Oryctolagus cuniculus: one gene and its partner. Each later gene encodes a partner of the first gene's protein in a complex. Links are inferred from orthologs where the notes say so. Each region holds a gene or a part of one and is shown in the gene's direction. Other genes may lie near its edges. The genes, in order: TMEM231 and TMEM107.

The links.
Region 2: TMEM231 (region 1) and TMEM107 share a complex: the UniProt entries of both Homo sapiens proteins name them as parts of the tectonic-like complex. The link is inferred for Oryctolagus cuniculus from reciprocal best matches to the Homo sapiens genes TMEM231 and TMEM107.

Annotation. Positions count from the first base shown.
Region 1 is NC_091449.1:57,929,688-57,945,123, reverse strand, and holds the start of TMEM231 (transmembrane protein 231), read left to right. Parts: upstream 1-7,524; 5' UTR 7,525-7,627; coding exon 7,628-7,766; intron 7,767-7,859; coding exon 7,860-8,029; intron 8,030-15,436. Other genes in the region: GABARAPL2 (gamma-aminobutyric acid receptor-associated protein-like 2), read right to left, coding at 340-395, 742-775. UniProt on the Homo sapiens protein: Transmembrane component of the tectonic-like complex, a complex localized at the transition zone of primary cilia and acting as a barrier that prevents diffusion of transmembrane proteins between the cilia and plasma membranes.
Region 2 is NC_091448.1:52,662,765-52,678,218, reverse strand, and holds TMEM107 (transmembrane protein 107), read left to right. Parts: upstream 1-8,189; 5' UTR 8,190-8,414; intron 8,415-8,635; 5' UTR 8,636-10,009; coding exon 10,010-10,096; intron 10,097-10,211; coding exon 10,212-10,274; coding exon of another isoform or gene 10,275-10,279; intron 10,280-10,370; coding exon 10,371-10,471; intron 10,472-11,040; coding exon 11,041-11,145; intron 11,146-11,357; coding exon 11,358-11,427; 3' UTR 11,428-12,139; downstream 12,140-15,454. UniProt on the Homo sapiens protein: Plays a role in cilia formation and embryonic patterning. Requires for normal Sonic hedgehog (Shh) signaling in the neural tube and acts in combination with GLI2 and GLI3 to pattern ventral and intermediate neuronal cell types.

The DNA of each region.
Region 1 (15,436 bases):
CCTAAGGGCCGCTTCCAGGACCACGGTGAGTCGCTCCGCCACCGTTCCCAAAAGTGGCAGTGACCTGTTGCCCTGTCCTAGAACATCGTTCCTTACGTAATTGGCCAGGGAGCCCTGGGGCTGTAGACAGCTCGCTGGCCCAGATCGGGAGATTCAGCACTGAGGCACCTGAACAGCACCAGCCCCAGCCCCTCGACCCCGGCCGGGGGACCGCCGGCCACGCCAAGCGGGGTCCGGAACCTCAGCTCACCCAGTGTCGCACGGCTGGGCCCCGTCGCCGCTCCCGGGCAGGGGACAGGGGAGCCAGCAGGGCGAGGGGGCGGGGAGTCCCACACTCACCGGAACCCGGTCGGGGTATTTCGCTCGGATCTTCGCGGATTCCACGCATCTGTGTTCTGAGAGAGAAACACACCGGGCTGACGGCGGCGCCTGCCCGCCGGGCCGGTGCCGGGCCCCAGGCCCTCGCGGTCCTCCTCCCCCGGCGACCTGCGCAAGCCCCGGCCCTCGTCCGGTGTCTCCGCGACCGCGGTCCTCTGCCCCCGGGCTCCCGGAGGAGGGGCCGCAGAGGGCCGCACCGGGCCAGGGGGCGGCTGCCCACGACGGCCCGGGCCCTCGGCGACCCGAGCCCGGAGCGCAGCATCCGCCCCGCCCGACCCGGCCCAGGGCGGCCCGAGTGGGGGAGGGGGCCCACCCGCCGCCCCCACTCCCCGCGGGCCGGCCGGCCGGCGGCCGAGAGCTTACCGAGCGAGTGGTCCTCCTTGAACATCCACTTCATGGCGGCGGCAGCGAGGGGACGCAGCCGGCTCTCGGGAGCCGCGGAGTTCAGCGAACCGACCACAACAACAACGACGGCAGCGACTACACGGCAGGCGGGACTTCCGGCTGCCGGAGCCTAGCAACTGGCAGGGGCGGGGCTTCCGGCGCCGCCCGCAGGGTCGCCGCTCCAGGGGGCGGGGCCGCACTAGGGGCGCAGGGGGCGATCGGGCTGTGGCGCTGGTGGCAGGGGTGTCTTGAGGGCTACTGGCTACTGGGTCGGGGGAGGACTGCTGGAGGACCTGTGACGGGGGTGGGGCGCCAGGGCGTTGGTGACTGATACGGAAGACTTTTGGGGGCGTGGCTGAGAGGCTAGGGCTCTTAGGGTTGTTCATAGGGGAAGTCTGGGACGGTGCTGACCAGAAGGGTATTTAGGAATATGAATGACAGAAGAGTGGTCTCTTGTTAGGGCGTTGACAGTTTGGGGGATATTTGCAGCGGTGAGGGGTGGGGGACTCAGCATAGGGGAGTGTTGGCAGTTTGAGGGCTGTGTGTGGGGAGGGGAGCTGATGACGTCCAGGGGGTCTTGCACTGAGGTCAGCCATGCTAGGTTACCTTGAATCCAGAAATCATACAGGAATCCCATTTCCTTCCTTGATCCACGAATATACGTGTGGATGCATATGGAGGGTGTCACAAATGCTTGTGTGACATCAGCGGCCACACAGCGATCCCTTAACCTTCACCCAGCAGGGAAGTTAGAGGTGACTGCCAGGCCGGAATTCCTCTGAGTGCTGGTCACGGGGCAGGTTTCCTTGTTGGGCAGTGGGAGTGGCTTAGCAGGCACAGCCGGGCCCTCTGTGTCACCTGCCTGCACGTAGCCTTGAGGTTCTCCACTCAGCGATGTGATTCCTTTCTTCCAAGCAGAGTCACCAGGGCAGGGTGTCCTGGGTCACCATCTGTTTATTAGCTGGTGAACATGTGACCGGAACATTCATCTAATTGGGCACATGACCCCTGCTACATGCTTGTGATTCTGCTGCATCCAAAAGGCCTGTGTGTTTGAATAATGTCATCCATCACTTCCTACAGATCGAATTCCCCACGGATGCTGTGGAATGCAGGGTTCAGTCTACAAGTATTTCTGTGCATTTACGGTTGCGTGTCTCAACAGCCAGAAGAGGGTTTGTTAACGAAGTGGAAAATCCTTTGAGTTTCATACTTAGAAACTGGTGCTGCCGCTGCAGCTCAATAGGCTAATCCTCCATCTAGCGGCGCCGGCACACCGGGTTCTAGTCCCAGTCGGGGCGCCAGATTCTGTCCCGGTTGCCCCTCTTCCAGGCCAGCTCTCTGCTGTGGCCCGGGAGTGCAGTGGAGGATGGCCCAAGTGCTTGGGCCCTGCACCCCATGGGAGACCAGGAGAAGCACCTGGCTCCTGCCATCAGATCAGCGCGGTGCGCCGGTCGCAGCACGCCGGCCGCGGCGGCCATTGGAGGGTGAACCAACGGCAAAGGAAGACCTTTCTCTCTGTCTCTCTCTCTCTATCCACTCTGCCTGTCAAAAAAAAAAAAAGAAAAAAAAGAAAAGAAAAGAAAAGAAAAGAAAAGAAAGAAAGAAAGAAAGAAAGAAACTGGTGTTGTGGTACACAAGCACACTCACTGCCCCAGGCGCAAGGGACAGAGCGGTGAACAGACAACACCACTGCTCCCATGGAGGCTGCATTCCCATGAGACAAGGCCAAAAATAAATATGTGATATGCTAATAAGTGCTGGTTAGAAGAACAAAATGAAGTAGATGACTAGACGGTGATGGTGGGATAGAGTGCTGACTAAAAACCCTGCCGCAAGGCAGGCTCTGTGACACAGGAGTTAAAGCCCTGGCCTGCTGTGCCGGCATCCCATATGGTTGCCGGTTCGAGTCCCAGCTGCTGCACTTCTAATCCATCTCCCTGCTAATGTACCTGGGAAAGCAATGGAGGGCTATGTGTGCCCCTAAAAACCCTGCCACTGAAAGTAAGTAAACAATGAGGATTGTATTAGGAGATGGGATCAAAGTCATCTAGAACAAAACTGTTGAACTTTGAATTTCTTGCAAAGAACTTTGGATTTTATATACATTTAGATGAGCAGTGGAGGATTTTAAGTACAGGCATAATACAATCTTCCTTTTTCAATGACCAGGCTAGCTTCTGTGTTAACAGTGGACTATGGGGGCGTAAAGGTGGAAGCAGGGAAATAGTTAAGAGGCTATTGTGAAAATCCAGGTGAAAGATCATGTTGGATTAAACCAAGATGGTATCTGGGGACATGCTGGGAAGCACTTGTGCTCTGGATATATGTTGAAGGTAGAGCTGACAAATTTTCTGACAGATTGGTTGTGAGATGTGAGGGATAAGTTAAAGTCAAGGTTTTTTCAAGGATGGAATGGCCATTTACTGAAATAGGGTGGAGCTAGCATGCAGGATTAGAATCAAGAGTTTGGTTTTATTTCTTTTTTTTTTTTAAAGATTAATTTATTTATTTGAAAGGCAGAGTTACAGAGGCAGAGAGAGAGAGACAGAGAGACAGAGACAGAGAGAGACAGAGAGAGGTCTTCCAGATGGCTGCAACCACCAGAGCTGCGCTGATCAGAAGCCAGGAGCCAGGAGCTTCTTCCAGTCTCCCACATAGGTGGCAGGGGCCCAAAAATTTGGGCCATCTTTGGCTTCTTTTCCCAGGCCATTAGCAGGGACCTGGATCAGAACTGGAGCAGTCAGGAATCAAACCAAACCCCTACGGATGCCAGCATCACAGGCGGTGGCTTTTCCCACTATGTCACAATGCCAGCCCCAAAAGTTTGGTTTTAGATGTATTAAATATGAGAAACCCAAGAGACACATCCAAGTGAAGCTGAAGAATGGGTGAATGGCCCTAGGAAAGAAGTATCTAAAGCTACTGAACTGGATGAAATTAGCTACATGAATGAAAGTAGCTATTTTGCAGATAAAAAACTGAACACTGAAGTCAGTAAATCAGTGGAGGAGTTAGAAGTTGGACTCAAGACCTCTGTTTGCCTTTACCTAGTTGGATTTGTGCCACAGTCCCAGAGATGTGTTTATCACGTCCCCTGTGGAGGTGCCTAGTACCCTTTTAGGGGCAAGGTCGCTGCTCATCAGCTCATAGGCATGTCCCCGATGGTCCCAGTGATGACCTGCATTGTCTTTCTGTCTTCCATGCTTACTACTTTCCTGCTGTGTTTTTCCTGTTTGTTTGTTTATTTATTTATTTATTTATTTTTATTTTTTGACAGGCAGAGTGGACAGTGAGAGAGACAGAGAGAAAGGTCTTTCTTTGCCGTTGGTTCACCCTCCAATGGCCGCCGCGGCTGGCGCACCGCACTGATCCAAAGCCAGGAGCCAGGTGCTTCTCCTGGTCTCCCATGCGGGTGCAGGGCCCAAGTACTTGGCCCATCCTCCACTGCACTCCCGGTCCACAGCAGAGAGCTGGCCTGGAAGAGGGGCAACCAGGACAGAATCCGGCGCCCCGACCAACTGGGACTAGAACCCGGTGTGCCGGCGCCGCAAGGCAGAGGATTAGCCTACTGAGCCGCGGCGCCGGCCCCTGTTCATTTTTTGAAATGGCTTCTCTGAGCTGCCTTGATGAGAGGCATCCATCACCTTCTCGGCTCATTGTAATGAGCCCACAGAATGCTCCAAGGACACTGGATCTGTCCTTGAGGGGGTGGTTAGTTGAGGAGGGGTCAGGAGGAGAAGGATAATGAATCCGTGCAATTCCACGTTAACAACCTATAGGACGTGCAGGATGAGTTGTTAAAATGCTGGAGAGATGCGCACGCACGGATACCCGAGGTACGGCCAGGGCGAGGGATGGGGCCAACACAAAGCCAGGTGAGGCGTAGGGAGAAGGACTTCGCAGGGACTGTGGATCTGAGGATGCAGAGGAACGGGTACATTTTTCTTTCCAGACACAAACAAAGGCCACCAGTGGAAGAGGAGCTGCAGAGAGATGGGTGCCAAGGTGAAAGAAGTGTTGGAACGCCTGGAAGCCAGTGCTGAGGACTCCAAAGCTGACTCCGGAGACCCGGAGTAGAAGCTCCTGTAAAGGAGAGGAACGTGATCAAGACATGCAGCTTGAAGAGAATGACTGTTCTTGGAGGTAAACTGTATGAAACATGAAGAACAGTATGGAGATGGAAACTGCAAAGTCAGTTCTCAGCCTTAACTGTGTGAAAATGGCATGAAACACACAAATGGCATTTTAAAATGTAATATTCTGTCTCAAAGAATTGAAATAAAGTCACAAACACTAGCTGCTTTAAATCATGGAAGCCAGGATGCTGCATTATTGTCCACTGCTATATTTACTTTTGCGAGGTTTGTGACATCTCGTGGGAGACTCAAGCATTTCATACAGTGTGCTCTCCTCCTGTCTCAGCAGTGACTTACCGCGGTGTGTGTTCCTCCTGTCGGAAGAAACCCTGGAAGCACAGGCGTCCTTCTTACCCTCAGAAGTCTGTAGGCCCATCTGTTCCACAAGACCTTCGTTGAGTGGTTATTTAAGTAGCTGCAAGTTGTCCACTTAACGCACAGATATGGAAGAACCATGCCACAGATCTAAGAGGTGCTGCATCTAAGAACTATATGAGCAGGGGCCGGCGCCGTGGCTCACTTGGTTAATTCTCTGCCTGCGGCGCCGGCATCCCATATGGGCGCCAGATTCTGGTCCCGGGTGCCCCTCTTCCAGTCCAGCTCTCTGCTGTGGCCCAGGAGGGCAGTGGAGGATGGCCCAAGTGCTTGGGCCCTGCGCCCGCATGGGAGACCAGGAGAAGCACCTGGCTCCTGCCTTCAGATTGGCACAGCGCCGGCCATAGCGGCCATTTGGGGAGTGAACCAACAGAGGGAAGACCTTTCTCTCCGTCTCTCTCTCTCATGGTCTGTAACTCTGTCAGATAAATAAATAAAAAAACCTTAAAAAAAAAAAAAAGAACTATATGAGCACCCCTTTCCCACTAAAGCTTTCAAGCAATGGTGAGGAGAGGGTTGGTCTATCATTATTATGACTCATGACATTAATTATCAGCTTGGACTGCAGTGAGGACCCTGGAATGGTTGTCCTCACTGGGCAGGGCTCGATCCCTTTCTGTTGGCCTCTGCTGGCAGCCTCTAAGCTGTTCTCTTTCTGGGAAAGCCACTTCTAGGCTGCTTTCAAAATAGTGCATCAACTACTGCTGCTAAGCACAAACCTTCACACTGATTTTTTTTAAGATTTATTTTATTTATTTGAAAGGCAGAGTTACAGAAAGGTAGAAGCAGAAAGAGAGAGAGGTCCTCCATCCACAGGTCCACTCCCCAGATGGCTACAACGGCCAGAGCTGCCTCAGTGTGAAGCCAGGAGCCTCCTCCGGGTCTCCTATGTGGGTGCAGGGGCCCAAGGACCTGGGCCATCCTCCAGTGCCTTCCCAGGCCATAGCAGAGAGCTGGAACCGAAGCAGACAGTCAGAAATCGAACTGGCACCCATATGGGGTGCTGGCCCTGCAGGCGGTGGCTTTACCCACTACACCACAGCACCGGCCCCCACACTGACTCCTGATCCTGCAACTGGAGTCTTCAGGGCCTTTGGATGGAGAACTTGGCTGTGGACCATTGGTTTTATTATTTATTTTTCTTTTTTTTTGTTGTTTGCTTACTTTTTTTTTTCTTTTCCTTTCTTTTGGATCATAGGTTTTAAAAATCCTTCCACCCTGTTCAAAATACTGGCTTGGCAGAGAAGGCGGTGGGCAATCAATTAGCAATAAACCAATGTTATCTTTGGGAAGTACGACTTAACCCACTGGGGCAGCACTGTGGTGCAGCGGGTTAAGCCACCATCTGCAGGGCCAGCATCCCTTGTGGGTGCCAACTGAGTCCTGGCTGCTCCACTTCCAATCCACTTTCCACCTGGGAGAGCAGCAGAGGAGGGGCCAAGTGCTTGGGCCCCTGCACCCCAGTGGGAGACCCAGTTGAAGCTCCTGGCTCCTGTTTTTGGCCTGGCCCAGTCCTGGCTGCTGCGGCCATTTGGGGAGTGAACCAGCGGATGGACGATCTCTCTCCCCTTCTCCCTGTAACTCTTTCAAATAAATTATTAAACCTTAAAAAAAAAAAAAAAAGGCTTAACCCACTGCACAACACGTCCCAGAGGGGAGTGCCAAGTCCCAGCTGGTCGGCTTCCACTCCAGCTTCCTGCTCGGGCATCCTGGGAGGCAGATGATGATGGCCCAGATATTCAGGCCCCTGCCCTTAAGTGGGAAACCCAGAGGGAGTTCCTGGCTCCTCGGGCCATTTGGGGGAGCGAACCAGCAGTTGAAAGATCTCTGCCTCCCTCTGTCACTCTTTCAAATAAATATTTTTAAAAAGAAATGTATCTTGTTTAGTAGCTCCCTCTGAAACCGGCAGCCGAACCTGCACCCAATACAGGTAACAATGTACGTAGTAATGACCCTGCCCGCCCCAGAGCCGAGGGTTTGGGTCCTGTGCGCTGTCCTGCTTCCGGAGCCACAGAACACAGAGGCGGAGCAACCCGGCCTTGGCCTTCGTCCAGGACCAGGTCGAGGAGCGAGGCCACGCGTGTGCGACCTGCGGGCATCAGCGTGGACCACTCAGCCGTCCTCAGCCGTCCCGAAGCAAAACACGCAACGCCCCCCTCTCGGTGGCCCGTCCACTGGCTGACCACGCCCCTCTCCAGGTAGCTCCGCCCCTTCTAGAGGCCCGCGCCGCTACTATTGGTCCTCCTCCCGGCGCCGCCGGTTGCCGTGGAGACCACGACGATGGCAGCCGGGAACAGCCAAACTTGGTCGTCCCTTCTCGGTTTGCGTAGGGGTCTCGGCGTGCGCCGTCCATGGCGCTGTACCAGCTCTACTCCCACCCGGCCGAGCGCGGCTACCGCGCGGGGCTCTGCTCCAAGGCAGCGCTGTTCCTGCTCCTGGCCGCCGCGCTCACCTACATCCCGCCGCTGCTGGTGGCCTTCCGGAGCCACGGTGAGCTTGCTAGGCCGGTGCGCGCCACCGCCTCCGCTCGGGACGGCCTGCCTGACCTGTCCCCCTCTCCCTCTCACGCCCTTCTTCTCTCAGGGTTTTGGCTGAAGCGGAGCAGCTACGAGGAGCAGCCGACCGTGCGCTTCCAACACCAGGTACTGCTCGTGGCCCTGCTGGGACCGGAGCGCGACGGCTTCCTGGCCTGGAGCACCTTCCCCGCCTTCAACCGGCTGCAGGGGGATCGCCTGCGCGTCCCGCTCGTCTCGGTGCGTGGCTCCCGCCTGGAATTCCGCTTCCCCCAGACGCCCAGGTACCCGGGCAGCGCTGCGTGCTGACCCGGGCCGGGCACGGTGCGCGCTCGGGGTCCCGCGGTGTCGCCGCGTTCACGCGGCGCGGCGGAAGCTGGGGGTCGGGGGCGGGCGTCTCCGGGCAGGACTGACCCTCGGAGACCGGGCGCCCCGCACCTGTTCCCCGGCAGGGCCCCGGCGGAGGGAGCCTGCCCCACGTGATCTCAGAGGCTGCTCCAGCGTGCATCTGTCCGGGGTAAAATTGAGACTTTTTCTTTAAGAGGGCCGAAACTTCTAGTTTTCCTTCTTCCACGTCCTTGAGGTGAGTGGCCTACAAGACAAACTCGTGTAAAAAATGTTCCCAGCAAAAAGATGATAGGTCGTATGAATAACTAGAAAGTTTGTTACAGATAGTTTTTCTCTGGTTACTTCTGAAATTTATTGGCTTTTTTTTTTTTTTAAGATTTATTATGTATTTGAAAATGAGAGTTGCACAGAGAAAGGAGAGGCAAAGCGAGAGAGAGAGAGGTCTTCCTGATGGTTCACTCCCCAGTTGGCCGCAACGGCCAGAGCTGCACCGATCCAAAGCCAGGAGCCAGGAGGTTCTTCCAGGTCTCCCAAGTGGGTGCAGGGGCCCAAGCACTTGGACCATCTTCTACTGCTTTCCCAGGCCACAGCAGAGAGCTGGATCGGAAGTGGAGCAGCCGAGTCTCAAACCTGCACCCATAAGGGATACCGGTGCTTCAGGCCAGGGCGTTAACCCGCTGCGCCACAGTGCCAGCCCCTATTGACTTATTTTAATTAGGAAAGTACCCAGTTTCCCACGTCGGTGTCAGGGGCCCAGGTACTTGGGCCGTCTTCTGCTGCTTTCCCAGGAACAGTGGCAGGAAGCAGGATTGGAAGTGGAGCCGCCAAGACTTGAACCGGTGCCCATAGGGGATGCTGGCGCTGCAGGCAGAGGTCAAACCCACTGTGCCACAGCACTAGCCCCAGGTTTTTTCTCCACATGTTTATATTCCTCTCTATCATGTGCTTCTGGTCATTTGAGTCTAAGAAATACCATGCAGGCTTGAGATAATTGTGAAGACAAGGATAAACCATTAAGTTTCATTCATTCATTGTTTTTACGGGTTCGTGCAACACAGCTGCTGTTGGCCTCTTAGCTCTGCAACCAGAAACCAACCACTCCCTTCAGTGCACCGCCCTGGTCCCCCCTTGCATCTGGCGTGCAGTTCCAATTTTAATGAGAAGCCAAAACTAACTCTTAATGTTTATGGTACCCATACCATGAGATCACTTTCATACTGGGTAATTTTGGGGCTGGCACTGTGGTACAGCGGGTTAAAGCCCTGGCATTCCATATGGTCACTGGTTCGAATCCTGGCTGCCCCACTTCCGATCCAGCTCCCTGCTAATGTGCCTGGGAAAGCAGTGGAGGATGGCCCGGTGCTTGCGGCCCTGTATCCATGTGGGAGACCTGGAATAAGCTTCTGGTTCCTGGCTTCAGCATGTCCGAGCCCTGGCCATCGTGCCATTTGGGGAGTGTACCACCGAATGGAATTTTTTTTTTTTTTTTTTTTTTTGACAGGCAGAGTGGACAGTGAGAGAGAGAGACAGAGAGAAAGGTCTTCCTTTGCCGTTGGTTCACCCTCCAATGGCCGCCGCGGCCGGCGCGCTGCGGCCGGCACACCGCGCTGATCCGATGGCAGGAGCCAGGAGCCAGGTGCTTCTCCTGGTCTCCCATGGGGTGCAGGGCCCAAGCACCTGGGCCATCCTCCACTGCACTCCCTGGCCACAGCAGAGGGCTGGCCTGGAAGAGGGGCAACCGGGACAGAATCCGGCGCCCCGACCGGGACTAGAACCCGGTGTGCCGGCGCCGCTAGGCGGAGGATTAGCCTAGTGAGCCGCGGCGCCGGCCTCGAATGGAATATTTTCTTCCCCTACCCCCTACAGCCAGTGCGCCACAATGCTAGCCCTGGTTCTTAATTCTTTTTTTTTTTTTTTTTTTTAGATTTATTTATTTATTTGAAAGTCAGAGTTACACAGAGAGAAAAGGAAAGGCAGAGAGAGAGAGAGGTCTTCCATCGCTGGTTCCTTCCTCAATTGGGCACGACAGTGAGAGCTGCACCAGTCCAAAGCCAGGAGCCAGGAGCTTCTGCCAGGTCTGCCACACAGGTGCAGGGGCCCAAGGACTTGGGCCATCTTCTACTGCTTTCCCAGGCCACCGCAGAGAGCTGGATTGGAAGTGGAGCAACTGGGACTCGAACCAGCACCTGGGATGCCGACCCTGCAGACGGTAGCTTTACCTGCTATGCCGCAGCACTGGCCCCTAGACTCTCAACCTTTGTTACAGCAAAATACTTTTATTTTCTGACTCTGAACATAAAGCCCGACTGGCTTCAAGCTGTCTGCGAAACTGTCTAGGAAGCTACAGAAACAGCGGTCCTCAGTCAAGGTTGAACCAAGTGCGGGGAGGCATCTTGGTGACTGCTAATTTGGGAAAATGCCTCGGAAGTCACAAACAGCCTGGGTTCTGCTTTGGTCAGCTCACCTTGGACAGCATCTCTAAAGTCCCCCCCTTCTCTTTGATTAATATTATTTTATAAGATACCTTTTTTTTTTTTTTTTTTTTTTTTTTTTTTTTTGACAGGCAGAGTGGATAGTGAGAGAGAGAGACAGAGAGAAAGGTCTTCTTTTTTTTTTTCGCCGTTGGTTCACCCTCCAATGGCCGCCACGGCTGGCGTGCTTCGGCCGGCGCACCGCACTGATCCAATGGCAGGAGCCAGGTGCTTCTCATGGTCTCCCATGGGGTGCAGGGCCCAAGCACTTGGGCCATCCTCCACTACACTCCCGGGCCACAGCAGAGAGCTGGCCTGGAAGAGGGGCAACCGGGACAGAATCTGGCCCCCGGACCGGGACTAGAACCCGGTGTGCCAGCGCCGCAAGGCAGAGGATTAGCCTAGTGAGCCGCGGCACTGGCCTATAAGATACCTTTTAAAGTGTTTATTTTCATCTGTTTGAAAGGCAAAATGACCTGGGGAGCGAGGGGAGAGTTTTTCACCCACCGATTCACTCTCCAGGTGCCTGCAGCAGCCAGGGCTGCACCAGACAGAAGCCAGGAGCCAGAGTTCCGTGTCTCAGGGTTCCAAACATGTGAGCCACCACCTGCTGCCTCCCAGGATGCGTTAGCAGGGAGCTGGGTCCTGGAGCAGCCAGGGCTCCAAGTCGCTGGCTCTGCAGTTGGGGAAGTGGGTGTCCCAAGCAGGCACTTAAGGAGTGGACAAGCCGGTCAGAGATCTCTGTCACTACCTCTCTGTCTCTCTGCCTTTCAAATAAAAGGAAAGCTGCAGCACTCACCCCACACCTTGCCTTTGGTGCCTTCAAAGTCCAGCTGTTGTTTGTTGCCGTGTTGAGGGTGAGAAGAACAAAGCAGGTGACCTTTCCCCTTAATGGGTCTGACGGGTCCGTGTGGGGGCCCAGAGAAGTTAAGTGCTGCGGGCTCAGAGAGGATGCTGGGGGTAAGAGGGGTTGCCGCGTGTCTGTGCCTCCGAAACCATGGCGTCTTCCTGCCCGCGGTGTCTGACGCCTGCTGCTGGCCAGGACGCAGGCTCTGCAGAGTCCTCGTTGCCTCCCGCTGCACACAGCCACCGGGCGGGCGGCTTCACAGCTTGCAGGAGATGCAGGAGCTGCTGGAAAGAAAGCCCCAGGGCAGCAGTGAAGGGTGTCTCAGCCTCTCCCAAGCAGCGTTTTACAATGCACCGGGTCCAAATGACCGGGGAGCCTGCTGCACTGCCCAGAACAATGTGTTGTAGTTCACTCTGTGAATTGCTTTTTAAGTGGGATCACCCGGTGGACGCGTGGTGCCCTGGGGTTAAGAGGCCTGCATCCCATATCCTACTGCCTGGATTCGAGTCCTGGCTCCGCTTCCAGCACCAGCGTGCGCCTAACGTGCCCCCTGGGAGGCAGCACTGAGGGCTCACGCGGTTGGGTCCTGCCACCCACATGGGAGACCTGGAGTGAGTCCCGGGCTCCCGGTTTTGGCCTGGTCCAGCCCTGGCTGTTGCAGGCATTTAAGGAGTGGACAAGCAGGCCAGAGATCTCTGTCACTACCTCTCTGTCTCTCTGCCTTTCAAATAAAATGAAAGTAAATAAATGTGAAATGTCATGTCATCAGCATATTCAGTGACAGGACAGAATGTGTGGAAAAGTATGGAGGTCATCGACTGAGTCATGGTGACTGTGGTATGTGGTATAAATATGTGTAAATCCAGCATCCATCTCATCAGGTGTAAACTACTCGAAGTGATTGGAAAGTGCGGGGTCATAGTTTAATTGGAAGTGTTCTTCCTTTCTTACTGGCAGACAGAATAATGGCTCATTTTGGGGCCGGCGCCGTGGCTCACTTGGTTAATCCTCCGCCTGTGGTGCCAGCATCCCATATGGGTGCCGGGTTCCGGTCCCAGGTGCTCCTCTTCCAGTCCAGCTCTCTGCTGTGGCCCGGGAAGGCAGTGGAGGATGGCCCAAGTGCTTGGGCCCTGCACCCGCATGGGAGACCAGAAGCACCTGGCTCCTGGCTTTGGATCGGCGAAGCTCCGGCCGTGCCAGCCATTTGGGGGGTGAACCAACAGAATGAAGACCTTTCTCTCTGTCTCTCTCTCTCTCTCTCTCTCACTAACTCTTTAAAAAAAGAAGAAGAAGAAGAATGGTGCATTTTGTAATTGAGGTGTCAGATTCCTTGAAAACCAGGTAGCAAGGATTTGATGACTCTAGGAACCACGAAGCAGTGTCCCTGCTTTGCTGGAGACTCAAAGACTGATACCAGGAGAATCTCCAGTCTAAAAGGGGACCAAAAACACCAAGGGGTAACAAGTATGAGGGCGGAGTCTAAAAAATTCAGAGAGTGCACATGGCGAAAACAACCATGCGGGGCTTGTGCAGTTTTTTTGTGCCCCAATAGATTTATCTCTTAACTGCATTTTTCTTTTTGATTATTTGTTGGTTGTATTTATTTGAAAGGCAGAGTTACAGAGAGAGGAGAAGAGAGATCTTCCAACTGCTGGTTCACTCCTTGGATGGCTGCAACAGCCTGCGTTGGGCCACTCTGAAGCCAGGAGTCAAGAGTTTCTTCCTGGTCTCCCACATGGGTGCAGGGACCCAAGTGCTTGGGCCGTCTCCACTGTGTTCCCAGGCACATTAGCAGGGAGCTGGATCTGAAGTGGAACAGCCAGGACTCAAACTAGTGCTCATATGGGATGCCGATGTCACAGGAGGCTGATTAACCCACTGCCCCGGCCCCTTAATTCCATTTTTCCACGGACATTTGGAAGTATCATCATATATTGTGAAGTGGACATTGGAGTAAATTAGGAAACTAGCTTTTCGTAAACCAAGAATGAATAGATACCACACAAAATTCCAACAAACCATCAGATACTGCAAAATCCTGGATGGGTCAAGATGTAACAAGTCAAGACTGATTTGACTAGAAACATCTGAGCTTTTTTTAAAAAAAAATTATTTATTTTTGTTTTATTTGAAAGACACAGAGACAGAGAAATCTTCTATCGCTGATTCACGCCCCCAGTATCTGAAACAGCCAGAGCTGGACCAGACCAAAGCCAGGAACCTGGAACTCCCGGCATGGGATGCAGGCATGGCACACGCCCACTCGCCAATCGCATTGTGCAGTTCGCGGCATCTCCTGCAGCCAAGTGGCCCTTTCCCGCTCCGCCAGTAGGAGGCACAATGAGCCTTGTGCTAGGAGTGGGAAAACCACAGCCAGGGTGAACAGTTGCTGGGGTGACGCAGACAGGGACAGCGAGCAAACAGAGGCAGGACTAAGACACTACTCTCTCCTGCCACCTTACAGGTCCCCTCCCCGCGTTCTCCCCCTGGCTCTGAAGGCACCGGCACCAGCTGGCAGCACTCCCTTCTTGAGGTCCAAGTCCCAGCTCCCCGAGGCTGCTGCGTCAAGCCTCTGGGATCTGATAACTCCAGGCTCTTGCCTTTCTTCTCTTGCTCCCTGGGGTTGTCATTTCTGTATATAACCCATATTCCCTTTTGGCCTCTTTAGTCCTCTAATATTTATGTTTCTATTTTTCCCTGTATATATTTTTTAAAGATTTATTTGAAATTCAGAGTTACACAGAGAGAGGAGAGGCAGAGAGAGAGTTTTTTTTTTGACAGGCAGAGTGGACAGTGAGAGAGAGACAGAGAAGAAGGTCCTCCTTTTGCCGTTGGTTCACCCTCCAATGGCTGCTGCGGCCGGTGCACCGCGCTGATCTGAAGCCAGGAGCCAGGTGCTTTTCCTGGTCTCCCATGGGGTGCAGGGCCCAAGCACTTGGACCATCCTCCACTGCACTCCCGGGCCACAGCAGAGAGCTGGCCTGGAAGAGGGGCAACTGGGACAGAATCTGGCGCCCCGACCGGGACTAGAACCCGGGATGCCGGTGCCACAGGCAGAAGATTAGCCTTTTGAGCCACGGTGCCGGCCGAGAGAGAGAGAGGTCTTCCATCTGCCGGTTCACTCCACAGTTGGTGGCAACGGCCGGAGCTGAGCCGATCCGAAACCAGGAGCCAGGAGCTTCCTCCAGGTCTCCACATGGGTGCAGGGGCCCAAGGGCTTGGTCTGTCTTCTACTGCTTTTCCAGGCCATAGCAGAGAGCTGGATCAGAAGTAGAGCAGCAGATCTCAAACCGGTGCCCATGTGGCATGCCGGCACTTCAGGCCAGGGCGTTAACCCACTGTACCACAGCACTGGCCCCTCCCTGTGTATTTTTAATTTTTTTTTTTATTTGTACATCTTATTTGAAAGGCAGAAAGACAGTGAGGTAGAGGTATCTTCTCTGTTTGCTTCCCACATGCCCGCAACAGCCAGGGCTGTTCCAGGCCAAAGCCACAAGCCCGGAACTCCATCCGGGTCTCCTACGTGGATGGCAGGGGCCCAAGTACTTGAGCGACAATAGGATTTACTAGCAGGAAGCTGGATCAGAAGTGGAGTTGCCAGAACTCCAACTGGCCCTGCATTATGCTGGCATCCAGAATGTCAGCCCAGCCCCGTGTACCACAGCACCCTCCCCACAAGAGCTGTCTTAACAGTACACCAAACTCCTGTCCCTGACTCCCTGTTAGAGGAACTGTGTTCATTTCTGCTTGCTGATTGACACAGGTAGACTGATGTGCGTTTTTCTTTCTGGAACATTAGCACTGGTTTCATCCCGCGTATGTAAATGCTTGTGCTCCTTTAGCCAGCAGCAGTCTCTGAAACCAGAGTTCTTGTGAGCTGTCAGAGAGGGAGCACTGATTCAGGAGTCAGCACACCCAGATCCCAGTCTCTCAGCCTCAGCCTGTGAGCAGCACGAGGCACGCTCGTACCTACAGCTCTGC
Region 2 (15,454 bases), on another chromosome or scaffold:
TCGGGCAGGTGTTCATGGGGAAGCTCTCACGGTTCTTCTCTGCTTCTGTAGCTACCCTGTCCGTCCCTACCCCCCGTCCTCAGCCAGGGCGGCATCCCTGGGAACCCAGGGCATTAGGTCTCTGAAGGGGGAGGGAACATGACTCCCACTTGTGATCAGGAGAAGGGAGGGGAGGCGGCCCCAGCCCCCGCTGCGGTCACCCTGAATCCGGTGGCCGCATCTCAGGTGCCGGGGGCTGTGGGAGCTCCAGTGGTACCTTGGATGCACACCTGCCCTCTGGCCCCCCTACCCTACCATTTCCCCAGCCGGAACCCCGGGTGGAACTCGGAGGGATGCTTTGCACGGCGGCGGAGGGGCTGAGGTGGGAGGCATCTCACTGCTCTCAGGGTTCAGGTAGAATTGTTGCTGGTTTTGAGGCCCACCTGTTGTGCAGTGTTTGGATCAGTTTGGGCTTTCTGAGTTTTTGTGGAATTAAAAGTGCTGCTGCTGCTAAGGCTGAGCCTGTGTTTGTGCGGGTTGCAGGGATCCAGGGGCCAAAGAAATGCAAAGGAGTATGGGCCTGGTTCTCGGGGCGGGTGCTGGGGGGGGGGGGGGTCTCAGGCTAGATGCGGGAGAGTACGGTCCCCGCTGTCGGCAGATCCGAGGGGAAATGTGAGATAAGGAGCATCACACACAGGGGCCTAGGGCCCAGTGAAAGCAGAGGTAAGCGAGGGTCTCTGGGGGAGGAAGAGAAGGGCTTGTCTTCTCCCGCCCTGATTGTACACAGTGGCCTGGAAGAGACTGGGAACAGCTCCAACTCCATGCCTGACCCTTGCTGCTGATCTGCGCCGCATGTAACGGTCTGAGGCGCCTGTGTCCAAGCTCTCTACTGTCCACGCAGTAAGCTCAAGAGCTACATGTTGTGGTCCTGAGACTTAGAAACAAATCACACACCAACGGCAAAAGGAAGACCTTTCTCTCTGTCTCTCTCTCACTCACTGTCCACTCTGCCTGTCAAAAATAAAATAAAAACAAATCACACATCCGAGTTTTCTCTGAACTCCTCCGTAAGCCATGCCCACTTCGGACCGAATTCCAGCGTTTCTCTTTCGGTGTAAAATGCTTTGGGATTGGAAAGGTTGCTTTACTAATTTACTTCAAGTGCACGATTTGTAACTAAAAAACGATTAGAAGTAAGCTGAAAATTTAAGCCCACTGGCCCGTACGGGGATCGAACCCGCGACCTTGGCGTTATTAGCACCACGCTCTAACCAACTGAGCTAACCGGCCAGATGGCATTTGGCCTCAACAAAAAGATATATAAACTTATAAACTTATATCATTGCTCCGCCCTCTGAACCCTTAAGAGTAGAACTGCTTGGGAAACGTGAGTGTAAAAAAAAAAAAAAACAAAACAAAAAAAAAAACGAGAAATGGATTCGCTGAACACTTTCCACGAGTTAACAGCCAGGATTCGATACCGACAAGCACGGAAGCACAGATGATGTGACTGCAGGCAAATTCCGCGTGCCCGAGGGACAAACGCACGCCACGACCACGTCCACGTCCTCGTCCTCGTCCTCACGCACACACGGTCAATAGGGTAAAATGCCTGAGAGCCCGCGAGGCGGATTCGCGGAGTGGGGACGAATGCCACTGACAGCACCGGGGCTCTTCCCAGCCTTCGCAAAAGCGAGAACACCCGCGGAGGCACCGCTGGGATTCGAACCCAGGATCTCCTGTTTACTAGACAGGCGCTTTAACCAACTAAGCCACGGCGCCCGCTTGATGGGAAGTGGCGCCATGTTTCCTTGGCCCGGTCAGGTCCGGGGAGGAGGATGGCAAGCACGTGGTTTTTGTGGTCGTGCGGGAAAATGTGGTCGCAGAGGGCGGGGAGAGAAGCAAGACACGAACGGGACCGAAACGCAGTGAATCTGGCGGAGGAAAGAGAGATCCTCGCGTTGGGAATTACAAAACGGAAAGCGAGCGCTCACGACGGCGCGCCGACGAGGATGGGATTCGAACCCACGCGTGCAGAGCACAATGGATTAGCAGTCCATCGCCTTAACCACTCGGCCACCTCGTCCACACGTCCGCCTCACTCGTTCTTCTCTCAGGCACCTGAACTCTGCCCGCCGCCTGCGGCACGCGCCTCCATCGTCAGTCAGGGCCGCGCGCCCGGGGGAGCCCGCCCGGCCCCGTGAGGAGAACGCGCCGCGCCGGACCCAGCGCCTGGCCCTGAGGCGCGAGCGCCCGCCCCTCCTCCCTCTGGGCTGAGCCCTCCGGGCCCGCGATCCCGCAGGGTCTCGGTACTGGATCCGTCGCAGACGCCCCGCGAGGCCGGCGGGCTCTTCCGACGGGGGAGGCTTCGCGGTTTGGCGCCACAAGACCCCTCCTCTTTCCGGCCCTTGAGAAGGAGCTGCACGTTCTCCGTGCTCCGGCGGCAGCGCTGGCGCTGGACCCCCAGTTGAAATAAAGGGGAGCTAAATAAAAAAGCGATTGAGGAACCAGAAAAGGAAGTGACCCCGACGTGATTTGAACACGCAACCTTCTGATCTGGAGTCAGACGCGCTACCGTTGCGCCACGAGGTCGGCCGGCCAACGCGGGGGACAGGTCCATTCATGACTACTGCGGCCTGGGCGTGCTGCAGGGGTCCTAAGGACCCAGATGCGCGAAGGCTGAGGGTCTCCTGCGTGGCGGCAGGGGTGGGGTGGGGGCTGCGTTTGCCCACCTGTCCCGTGGGTCCAGCCGAGCTTGGAGGACGAGCCGGTAGAGGGCTTGGAGCTGGTCCCCGGGCGGGTCACAGAGGTCGCAGCCTCGCTGGGACGGCTCGCCCAGCACCGCGCTGCGGGACAGATATCGGCGGACCGTGGTGGAGCCAGGGTAGGGTCCAGGGGGCACCTGTGAGCGGCGGGACGTCGGCTCCCTGCTGTCCGCACGTTGCCATCGCGGGCGGCGCGCTCAGCGGGACCCCACGCACCGTCCCGGGCTCGGAGGATTCTGATTCAACCCCCCCGGGGGGAAGGACGCCCCTGACACCCTATTGATAGCCTCAAACGTTCTTGGGGTGATTCGCACAGATCTTAAATGCGTGCTTTGACAACCGCGTACTCCTGTGCGACTCACTCCTTGAAGACACAGGACGGCCGCATCACTCTAGAAAGTTCTCTCGTGTCCGCTCCCGAGGGACGCCCGCCCCTCTGTGCACGGCCGTAATTCCCATCGCCGTGGACGTTAGCGGTTTGTAAAGCTCCCCACGTGACACAGGGCTGGGCACTTGCAAGGAAGTCCACCTGCCGCCGGAAGAGGCCCCGGTGCTTCTAGAAGCTTGAGAGGGGCTCAGCCAGCCGGGGTGGAGGAATAAGCCATGGGGGATCCCACCATCTTCCAGGCCAGCCTGGAAGAGGCTCTCCTAAGGGTCCTCAGAACTCACTTCCCACTTCCGGCCCCCACATCCGGTCAGTTCCATTCTCCTTGGTGATTTTTCCAGCCGGCCCCTGCTCCCCATTCCCACTCCCACCCCCACACCTTCTCCTGCCAGATTATTTTTAAGACTCCTTTCTCACCTCCTTGCCTCCAGAGTCCGCAAAGAGAATAGTCTCTTTCAAAATGCAAACGTGATTCCACCAGGCCTTGGCTCAAAGTCAGACCTAATTTGTTGAGTGGATTCACAAGGTCAGACAGCAAGACCATTTGGCTCCGGGACAGTCCCTGAAAGCTTGGTCTCTGTCCCCGGTGCCGAATCAAAGTGACAAGGACAAGGCTGGAGGACAAAGGAAGGAGAAAGTTTAATCTCTGTGGACAGGGCCGGGAGCAGATTAGCAAACTCAAGCGCTACTGTACTGCTTAGTAAGAGCTGCAGGGGGGGGGGGGGGGGGCTGGCTTCACAGAAATGCGGGAGGGGCGGCCCATTTTGGGAGTAGCTGTGGTCAAGGCCAACACCGCTCAGCCAGCTACCGAGAATGCCACAGCAGACTGCCACGTAATCCTTGTGAAAGTGTGCAGGTGCGGAGAGTGCCGGGTTGTCTGTAAGAGCAAGTCCTAAGAGTTAAAGCGTTCCCACAGCATGGGCAAACAGAGAAGCCTGTGGCCTGGCCTTGAAGCCTAACATAACATATGCTTTGTGATGGCGGCCTGGAAGCCAGCGTTTGGCTGGACTCAGTGGGAGCAGACTTGTGCACTGTGGTGAAATCTGCCGCCTCGCATTTGATTTCGCCGATTTCGCCGAGAACCAAGCCCAGCCTTTTTCAGATCACCCTGTGCCTGGTTACAGAACCACGTTACCAGAGTTCACATACAGGCTTTGCGGCTTAACTGGTGGTGTAACTTGGACTGGTTTTTCAACCTCCCTGTGTCTCAGTGACCTCATCCCTGAAATGGCAAAGATGGTAACACATCACTATGGTATCTGTCTGCTACAGATCACAGGCTCGGAGCCTGGCCAGTGGTGATCACGGAGCAAGAATTTGTTCTTAGTAATAGTACTATTGGGTCCTTGCCTGATCTTCAGCCACTCCCCCCTCACCACTTGTGCACAATGGTCCCTTGTCTCTATGTCATTATCCCTGCTATTGCATGATAATTTTTCAAGTCCTTACATGCCACTCAAGGCTCACCGTCCTCCCCACTTCTGCAAGAAAAGGCCCTTTGTCTTCTCTAAGAGAGCACTGAGAATTTTACATTTTAAGGGCAAGGGTTTGGTCTAGAAGTTAGGGCACCCGTGTCCCCTATCTGGATTTGTGTCCTGGCTCCCAATTCTAGCTTACCGACAATGCAGAGCCTGGGGGGCAGTGGCGATGGCTCAAATAGTTGGGTCCCGGCCACTCACATGGGAGACCTGGATTGGGTTCCTGGCCCCTGGCATCAGCCTGGCCCAAATCCCAGGGCTCCCAGCTTTGGTCAGCACCATTAGAGATGTCTGAAACCAATGCAGTGGATGGGAACCCTTCTCTATAAATAAAACATGTTTAAAAGAGAGAAAATTGACATTTTGTTTCTTCGGGATGTCCTGTCCCTTTCTAGTAAGAAAGTAGGAAAAATGTATTCCTAGCACACAGCACAATTCCTGCAATGTGTGTTTCAGTAAGTATTTGTGAAGTTAAGGAAGGCTAGCTTTAGCAAGAGCAGGAAGTGGGCCACAGAGTGGCTTACAGAGGAAGGTTTGTGTGGGCACCTGAAGGACACGGGGTGAGGCGGATCATTTTGGTTGAAAGGGAAGTTGGCCCAGTGACTATGGTTACCGGGGACTAGGGACTCGATGTCTAGGCATAGAGTGGTCTGTGGCACTCTGTTGTTGACGCTTTCATTCATGCCCCTGGTTTCCACATTTTAGAAGCCATTAAGTAACCCTACTGCATGGCCCAATATGGCAGTCACTGGGTTGACTCTTCAATCTAGGGCTACCCGAATGAAACTTAATCTTAAAATCTCAGTCCCTCAGTCCCGCTAGCCTCATCTCAAGTGTTCTGGTGCCACATGGAGCTGGTGGGCTGCCACGGTGGACACAGACAATGTGCACTCTTTCCTTCCGTCATCACAGCAGAGGGTCTGGAGCGCAAAAGCTTAGTAGGCTGAGGGCTGGGTCCCGTGGCCTTCAAGGTTATTTTTTCTTCTCATTTGTTTTTCATTTTCAAGTTGCGGAGACCAACATTTAAGACCAGGATGAGAGGAAGTAACCCAAACAAGCAATCTGGAGGCACTGGACTTGGCTTCTCTCCAGGCTGTGGAAGCTGAGCTGGGCAGCACCGACCCCCTCTCTCACCTCCTCACCTCAAACACGTGGGCGTTGTTTCTACTGATCTCAAGGAACTTCCTGTCTGTGGTGTGCTGCTCCTCCTTGCAACACACACTCCATCCAGGGGGCCTTAAAGGGCTTGCATCCTGTGCCACCCCCACACCAACACAGAGGCTCTGCTAGGTGCTCAGGAAAACAGGAGGGTAAGTGAAGAAACAAACAAAAAGTATTTCAAGAGGAAAGAAGCAAGCAACAGTATTGAGTGCTGCTGAGGTGTGTTGTCATTGAAACCCCGTTGTCTAAGAGGTACAGGCGGAGAAACTGAGGCACAAGGTGATATATTTACCTGTTTGAGGTCTTAGAGCTTGTAACCCAGCCTGACTCAGGCATCTGAGCTCTTCACGGCCACACTAGTTCTTTAACTCTGTAATCACTTGATTGATGGCTTCGTTATTGTGTCTGTCTTAGGGAATATCTTAGCTCAGGCTGCTGTAACAACATGCTGCAGACCGGGTGGCTTAAACAGCAGACATTTCTGTCTCACAGTGGTGAAGGCTGGGAAGTACAAGATCAAGCTGCAGGCAGATGTGTTTCCTGGGGAGGCCTTGCTCCCTTCTCCCTGAGTGCTCACACTTGGAGAGACACATGTCTTCCTCAAGAGGGTCCTACCACCCTGACCTAATCTAAACCTAATCATCTCCCACCTCAAAATGCCGCCGCATGAAGGGTTAGGGCTTTAAAACCAGGGCATATCCAAAAGTTCATGGAAAATGGAACTAAAAGATACTTTGATACAAAAAAAATGGAATCCAGGGATAGTTTGTTTTACTATGCAATTTGCATAAACTGGTTTGGCATACTTTCGTGTATCTCATAAAGGTATAGAAATCATAATACATGAAGAACACTTGTAACTCAACAGTGAAAAGACAAACAATCCAATTAAACAAACAAACAAACAAAAAAAAAAAGAAGAAGAAGAAGAAGTTAAAGGGCCAGCTCTGTGGCACAGTGGGTTAAAGGCCCAGCCTGCAGCACTGGCAAACCATATGGGCGCCAGTTCAAGTCCTGACTCCACTTCTAATCCAGCTCCTTGCTAATGCACCTGGGAAAGCAGCGGAAGATGGCCCAAGTGCTTGGACCCATCACCCACAAGGGACACCTGGATGGAGTTCCCGGCTCCTGGTTTCGGCCTGGCCCAGCCCTGGCTGTTGTGGCCATCTGGGGGAGTTAACGAGTGGATGCAAGATCTTTCTCTGCCTCTTCCTCTCTGTAACTCCACTTTTCAAATAAAATAAATGCATCTTTTAAAAAAAGGTAGAATGAGAAGCTCGTGTGCGGCGGCGGTGTCGGCAGCGGCTGCAAAGAGAAGAGTTTGGCGCGATGTCTCATACCATTTTGCTGGTACAGCCTACCAAGAGGCCAGAAGGCAGAACTTATGCTGACTATGAATCTGTGAATGAATGCATGGAAGGTATTTGTAAAATGTATGAGGAACATCTGAAAAGAATGAATCCCAACAGTCCGTCTATCACATACGATATCAGTCAGTTGTTTGATTTTATTGATGATCTGGCAGACCTCAGCTGCCTTGTTTACCGGGCTGATACCCAGACATACCAGCCTTATAACAAAGACTGGATCAAAGAGAAGATCTATGTGCTCCTCCGCCGGCAGGCCCAACAGGCGGGAAAATAATGGAGTGGAAGCAGTAGGGGGATGGGGGTGGGCTTGGAACACAGGTGTGTACAGCGTGCTGTAGTGGGAGTTTTGTATTATAGTGATCCTGTTTCCACTTGGTACACTCTAGCCAGATTGAATGTATCAGATGAAGTGTGAGAATGTTGTTCAATCTGAAACCCCCATTGCCCCTTTTTTCTTTTCTTTTTCTTCCCTTTTTTTTTTTTTTTACTTAAACATTTTTATGAGGATTTAGATGGAATTTTTTTGTCAGTTAATGTTGGTTCCAGAGCTTCAGACTGTTGAGATCTGCTTTATAACAGTCACTGTACTAACCCTTAGAGATGGGGTGGGGGGTGGCTCAGTTTAGTTACATCCTCAAGGCAAACTCTTAGTGGAAAATAAATGTTCTTTAGTTATAAAAAAAAAAAAAGGTAGATTGAAATACACAAAAGATGTTAAAATCTATGTGGTCACCATGCTACTAAAAAGATCTAGTTGTGTTTGTAGGACACTACTGAACCGGGATTCTGAAAACTGGCAAATAATGGAAAAAAAAAAAAAGGACCCATTTATCCTGCCTTTCCTGTATGACTCGTATCTCATGGAAAATTCTTACTGATAAAAGAATTCTAGCTGGTAGATGCAGAAGAGGGCTCGAATTAGGCCATCCCCATTTTGCAATCGCTATTGAAATCATGCAGTTAGGCAATGAGGACCCGTGGTACCATTAGGTGAGAATGGATGAAGAATTTTATCACGGGTGGCTCAGCCTGACCGCACCCGAAGCCACCACTCAGACTTCAGCACCACAGACAGACAGACACACAGACAAGCAGGATTCCTGATGAGGTGAACAGAAAGTACAAACCATCCCTCGGGATGTGATCTTACCAGAAAACTGAATGACACATAGATCAACCATTAGACCTGACCATCAGTTTGCAGGAAACACAGTGCCAGGAGAGAATGAAATGACGCCACACGTGGCCCAGTATCTTCAGCAAGAAAAGAAGGAAGGTGAGGTGATGGGGAGGAGGGCAAACCCAAGATTAACAGAGATTTCAGACATGTCAGCCAAGTGGACTTTATTTGTACCCCAATGCACACGTGTGGGGTTGTGGTGGAGGGGAGGGGGCAACAAAGCTGACCACGTGCTGACAACTGTTGAGGCAGAGCAGTGGCCCTCCCAGGGGTTTGTTATACTGTTTCATTTTTACGTTGTGTTTGAAATTTCCTAGGATGCCAAAAAATGAAAAGTTTGCAAGTTCTTTTGTCACCAATTCAAATGCTGAGATACCGAATCCAGCCCTGGAGTGAGTGGCCACCTACGGGAGGACAGCTGGTCACCCGCAGCACAGCCCATGGCCACCAGCAGGCTCTAAAACCCAGGCAAGAAACGACTTTCTCTGAGGCAAGTTTCTATAAACCAAGGTTGTGGACAAGGACAAAGCAGACATAGGCTGCCCACTCCCTGTTCATGAGTCCACACCTAAGGACCTGAGAACTCGGTTTGTACTGTCTAGCCCGTCTCCTAGGCAGAACGCCTACTGAGCAGAATGCTCCAAACCTCCAGCTGTTGAACGCAAAATCCTTGGGTCACCTTGACTCTCCCTTTTCCTCACCCACCCACAGGCCCCGAGCCAGACCCTCTCCCCAATCCTTCTGCTTTGCTCCATCGTCTTTGCTTCACCCTGTCCTTTCTGGATACTTCTATGGCTTCCTCGTTAGTCTCTCCATATTGCAACCTGGGTCGTGGAGAATACGAATCTGACCACGTCGCGCCTGGTGGCTGCAAGGCCTGCCGCGACCACGCTCCACCTCCTTTTGGGCTGCCTACCACTAGGCTTTGCAGTGCAGGCTGACTTGAAGGCTGGGGTTACTCTCCTCAGAAGCGGGGAGGGAAGCCCCTTGGGTGTGCGCAAGCAGCAGGGGTCTTCCTGGAGCCCGTGCGGCCGGTACCTCGGAGACCCCGGAACCAGAGCTGAGCCTTGCGTCCCAGGCAGCTCCAAACCTCCTGTGCGGGACGCTTCGTCCACGCTCGCCCTGTCCAGTCCCGGCGGGGCCGTCCCTAGGCTGAGGCTGCCACCATCTTCTGCACTATGCAAATCCCTCACCGAACCCGGCAAAGATGTCTGGGGTGCTCCGACCACCAAGGGCTCCGTGACAACGGGCCTGCCGGACAAGGTAGGTCCAGTGAACGTTCCACGTTGGGCTCAGGGCACAAGGAAGCTACGAGGACGGAAAGGGAAGACCGCGTCTGAGCCTCCAACCTAAGACCGGCACGCCGGCCGCAGCAGTCCGCGAGCACCTCCTCCGCGGACAGGCCATTCCCGGCAATGCAGCCTGGGGCCGCGCCGCTCCGGACCTGAGCAGCCAGCGAACCCCCGGACGTAGTCCTCCGGTTAGGAGGCTGGCGGCCGCAGCGGGGTCCCCGAACACGGCGCACTTGCACGACGGCGGCTCGAGAATTTACGGCTCTCGCGAGATCTTCAGAACCCGAGGCGCACGGTCCGCGTACGCAGTTACCAAGGCAACGGGGCGGCCCCTGAGGCGCGCGAAGGCCGCGGGCCGGGAGAGGTTTCCCAGCGCCGCCGCCCGCGGCCCTGAGGAGCATGAGCCGGATCTCGGGGCTCGTGCCCTCCCGCTTCCTGACGCTGCTGGCGCATCTGGTGGTCGTCATCACCTTATTCTGGTCGCGGGTAAGACCCACGGCCGCCACTCCGCGTCGCCATCTCGCCGTGGTCGCCGCGCCCACCCCGCCCGGGGTCTCAGCCGGCCTCTCTCACTTCCTTTCCTTTTCTGCCCGCTCCCCAGGACAGCAACGTCCAGGCCTGCCTGCCCCTCCGATTCACCCCCGAGGAGTATGAGAAGCAGGACGTGCAGTGAGCTCTTGGGGGGGTGGGGGTTCGAAGGAAGAGGCGGTGGGAGTCCCGGAGGCCGGGGGTCCTGAGCCGCTCCCCTTCCTCTCTGCAGGCTGGTGGCCGCCCTCTCGGTCACCCTGGGCCTCTTTGCCGTGGAGCTGGCCGGCTTCCTCTCAGGAGTGTCCATGTTCAACAGCACCCAGAGCCTCATCTGTATCCTTTCTGCCCCCACGACCCGTTTCCAGCGCGACTCCCTTCAGCGACCCCCTTCCCCCCAGGAGCCCCGCCTCTGCTTAGGCAGTGCAGGGATTTGACACAATCCTCAAACAGTTGTGGATGCCGCTGTGCACCGGGCCCTGGAGGTAAATGGGGGTGAGGCGGAGGCAGACACACACACACACACACACACACCCCACTATCCTCTAGGAGGGGGTAAAAGAGCCAAGGATTGAGGGAGGCGCTTGACTCTCCAGTTGCGGGCCTCCTGGTGGAGAGTGATTCCAGCAGAGAGGATCAAGTCGCTGTCCGCATTCCTGTGGGGTCCATGGGGGCCTGCTCTGACCTCCCCTCGGGGGTGCAGGCTGGCCCCTCCATGTGGGGTGAGGGTAGCCTGGGGTCTCGGCAGTGCAGGCTCAGCGCAGGCCGCTACACGTGGGCCTGTTAAAATCAGAAGGCAGGGCTGCTGACTCCCGCCGTCGCACAAGGCCTGGGAGCTCCACCACTGGCCTGCCATAGCCCGTCGCTGTTGTGGCCCCAAGACTTTCCTTGACTCCTGTGTGTCGCCCACAAGCCATCGCAGCGCACTGTAGTGCATCTGTAGCCCTGTCGTTCTTCATATTCGAGCGCTGGGAGTGCACCACGTACTGGTACATTTTTGTGTTCTGCAGGTGCGGTTAGCACCCAGTCTTGGGGGGTGGGGAGGAAGGCTCGCCCCATCCAGCTCTTCCCTGAATGTTTGAGACACCAAGACCACATCCTGTGGTCCTTTGAAGTCCCCCCTCCAATCCCACCCTCTACACTTCGGGGCTGGGATGTCTGGTTTGGAGATTCGGGTATTTATGTTGGAAGGGGGCCTGACCCCACCACCTGCCTTCCACAGCGCCCTCCCAGCTGTCACTGAAGTGGCATTATTCATCGCCGTCTTTGGGCTGAAAAAGAAACCCTTCTGATCATCCTCACTGCAAGAACGTGGAGAACAGGGCTGGGGGAGCCAGAAGCTCCCGTTCCTGGCAGGACAGCGTCGCCGCGCCCCGGAAACTGCTTCTGGTGGAGGATGTCGGTGTTGGGATAATTGTCTGGGATAGCGTTTTAGTCAGTGCTTTGTAATAAATAAAATCTATTTTATAATAAGATCAAAATTTATACAATTTTCAGGGAACAGTTGAGTTGGCCAAACTACTGCAGAGACTGCTTTCCAGCCCATAGAACAACAGGGGTCGCTTCTATTTTGGGTATTACGGTAGAGTGCTGGCGGCAGGGATGGGCGGAGATATGTAAATAAGATTGTGTATGCTCAGAACTCACGAGCACGTGAGGGAGCAGAGCATTCTGGGAGGAGTTAGTTTATTCCTTTTTGGCAATCGAATGTAAGAAGTTTTTTTTTTAACGTTACAAATAAATGTCGAAATATGATTGAAATAATTCAAAGCAACTGGGTTTCTCCGACTAACGCGTTGCGTATTCACCCTAGGTCTTAGGGGCATCTGCTCCTCTGAATATGGAATGGCCGGGGCGGGCCGGTATCGTCAGGTGGGATAATCCTTACCTGTTCCTCCTTTTGGAGGGCAGATAGAACATGATGATTGGAGTTCGCATGATGCGTGATTAGCGTCTCTGCGTAATCAGGACTTGCAACACCCTGATTGCTCCTATCTGATTCTTCCTGACGATCACCTTCATCTTTTTGGTTTGTGCTAAATGATAGATGTGGATTGTGGGAGAGTTGTTTTGGCTTGGGGTACACTGGTTTGTGTTCTGGTAGATAGAAGTTTCATTTTTTCCTGAGAATGTTTTCCTGCCGGTACTGTGTTTTTCCGTGCGCCTGCGTGATTCCTGTCCCTGGTGGTCTACTTTCTCCCCTCGGCCCACATTGGAAGCCCTGGAGAAACTCTTCACAATTTTAGCTAACTGCCCTGAGCAGAGCACATCTTTTGATTTCCTGTGAAATGGTGGTTCCTATCAGCCACCCTGGGTGTCACAAGTGTTTTATTTAATGGTCCTGGCAAGAAGGGTGGACTCCTCTGGTGGGTACCCCACCTGAAAACCTGACGATGCACCCCTGTTCAGTCTTGTCTGATGAGACCACCTCCTGAAGAAAGCTGTTAAAACGCATTGACACAATAGGACACTGTACAGATAGGCGAGTTTACAAGAGTCTACAGTTCTGTCATATAAATATTCTCAGGGTTCTGTGTAAGCTGGGAAGGTTTCTCTGTAGGTTTTTTAACCCAGAGTGGTGGAGTCCAAGCTGTTCCAAATAACCGAAAAGCGTCTGGTGTTGCCTTTCAGGTGCTGCCTCACACACATAACCTTTCCTTCTGCCCCCTGGCACTGCAGCCCTTCATCCATAACATTCATTCAGTGAGTGCTAATTGAGCACACACTGAATGCAGAAAGCCCTGAGCCCTGACCCCTACTCAGTCGACCCTGCTGTGGAACAGGGGTTACTTTGCTCAAGGAGGCAGGAGTGGTGTCAGTTCCATGAGAGCGTGACCGGAGCAGAGAGGAGTAGGAGACTTGATCTGGAGGGTTCCGTCCCGTCACAGTCTGCCTCTCAGTCCCACCCAGTGCAGTGCTCCGACCACCTTGGGGGAAATGACTGTTCTTCAGTAACTTTCTGAGCCAGGTGATAAACACAGACATTATTAAAATTTAATTATGTAAACTTACAGTTAAATATTTTCAACGAGATAATAAGTACTCAAAGCCCATTACTTCCTGATCATTTTACTATAAAATGTTCTTAAGGTTGACTGCATTTGTATGGTGGAAATACTGTATAATGATTTTCGACTGTGCATCTCTTCTCTTAGTGATGAGTTGGCATTGGTGGAAATCTATACACCAAAGAAATCGGCGGATGCTACAAATCAGTCCTTGTAGGTTGTCTGGATTTTAAGACAGAGATGGAGAAAAATATTAATAATGCAGATTAAACTTCAAAGTGTTATCTCTGCAACTGTCACATTGTGAATAGCACACAAATCTGAGAAAATATTCTCCCAGAATTTGAGAACTATTATCAGAGCCAATAAAGAAGTACCTGTGAAAGCAGTGAAGTCTCAACAGATAACATCATTGTTTCATTTTGTCATGAATGAAGATAGGAACCAACATTCACATTGGACTAAGCTTGTAGTTTGGATGCAACATTTATGAAATAATATATTAATTTTTGAAAGATTTATTTATTTTATTTGAAAGCAGAGTTACAGAGAGGCAGAGAGAGAGGTCTTCCACCCAGTGGTTCACTCCCCAGATGGCCACAACGGCCAGAGCTACGCTAATCCGAAGCCAGGAGCCAGGAGCTTCTTCCTGGTCTCCCACGGAAGTGCAGGGACCCAAGGACTTGGGCTATCCAAGAGGGCCATAACAGAGGCAGCTGCAGCAGTCTCCTAACCACACACTTCTTATCCTCATTGCAGACAAGGGACAGCCAGGAACCCCCCAGACCAGAGACTCTAGGAAGCAGGCCGCGGCGCTTGAACTGGCTCCCATATGGGATGCCAGCACTGTAAGTGTGGCTTTACCACTATACCACAGAAGAGGAATTTACAATAAAGAATATGGTACACTTTATTATTTGTAAATTCTGTACTATATGTATTTTTATCAGTACAGTTTATAATAAACGTACATATGTACAGAAATGCATACCGGTTTTGAGAGCTGGCTGTTAACCATTCGCCAGCACGCACACTCTGCCCCTGCCATCACCAGGGACTGCCTTGTTCCCAAATTCAGAGTCGCCGCTCAGACTCGAGCTCCACAGCTCTGAAGTGTTGACTTCGCCGCCTTCTGAACCTTCTCCTCCCTCGGCTCCGGAATAGTGCTGCCCCTGGCTTGAGTGCCCACGGTTCGTCCATCTCTGGGGACGCAGTACGGGTCTGTCTCCTCTGCTTGTCTCCTTGGGCGACTTCACCCACCTCTTGTCCTCAACCAACAATGTGAGCCCTCACCCTACCTTCCAGGTCCAAGAGCACTTTCTCCCCTTCTTGCCTGTGAGAGGGGCAGCAGGTCACCTACCCTCTCTCTGCCTCAGTTCCCTCATCCGTACTCCAGCAGTAGCTACCATGAACTCCTGTCTTGACCCAGACCAGGGGCTTTGCCGGTTAGCATCTCTATTGTGAAACTAGTGGTGTTCTAGAGAGGAGGGCTGCCGCGGAGATGGTAGAGAGGCTTCACCGTCTCCAACAAAGGCCTGCAGCCTGAACCCTGATCGGTGGCGCCGCGGCCTGCTTCCTGGGGTCTCTTTGGTCTGGGAGGTTCCTGGCTGTCCCTTGTCTGCAATGAGGATAAGAAGTGTGTGGTTAGGAGACTGCTGAGGCTGCCCCGGTGAACCTGTTCCTGCACGGGTCAGGGACCTCACTGACCTGAGAGAGCAGACGTAAGATCCAGCTTCCCATTGATGGGCCCAGGAGCAGTGCACGATGGCCCAAGTACTTGGGTTCTCGCCACTCTTGTGGGAGACCCGGATGGAGTTCCTGCATGAATGGTTTCAAATCTGATTGCTAACTCTCCGGGAGAAGTACCTGTAGGTACAGCAGAATTCTCCCACAGCTCAAGCTTTGTTCCAGGTGGTGGAGCTGGAGGAGGGGGAGGGCAAGCTGCCGATGCCTATCAAAGAGACCAAATTGGCTCCGGTTAGTTCACAGCAATATCTCTTCTTCGGTTGTTGAGAGGATGAGCTGGGATAATCCAGGTGCCTGTGTGGGGAGAGTTGACTTCCATCCTATCCCGGTGACATCTGTTGTCTGTCCCCGTTCACCACCGATCCTTTTTTATTTTTCTTCCTGGTAGCAGCACCCCCATTTTCCTTTGGGATTTTCCCATGTTGGCCACGAGGTCCAAGCCTGGCCAGTAAGAATGTCCCATTTTTCCCAGCCACAGTGATTGGCTGAGGCATGAACCTTGCCGATCCAGGACTTTTGAGGGAAGTTTTGGGAAAGAGGATCCTAGTCTGAGAAATAAAAGCAC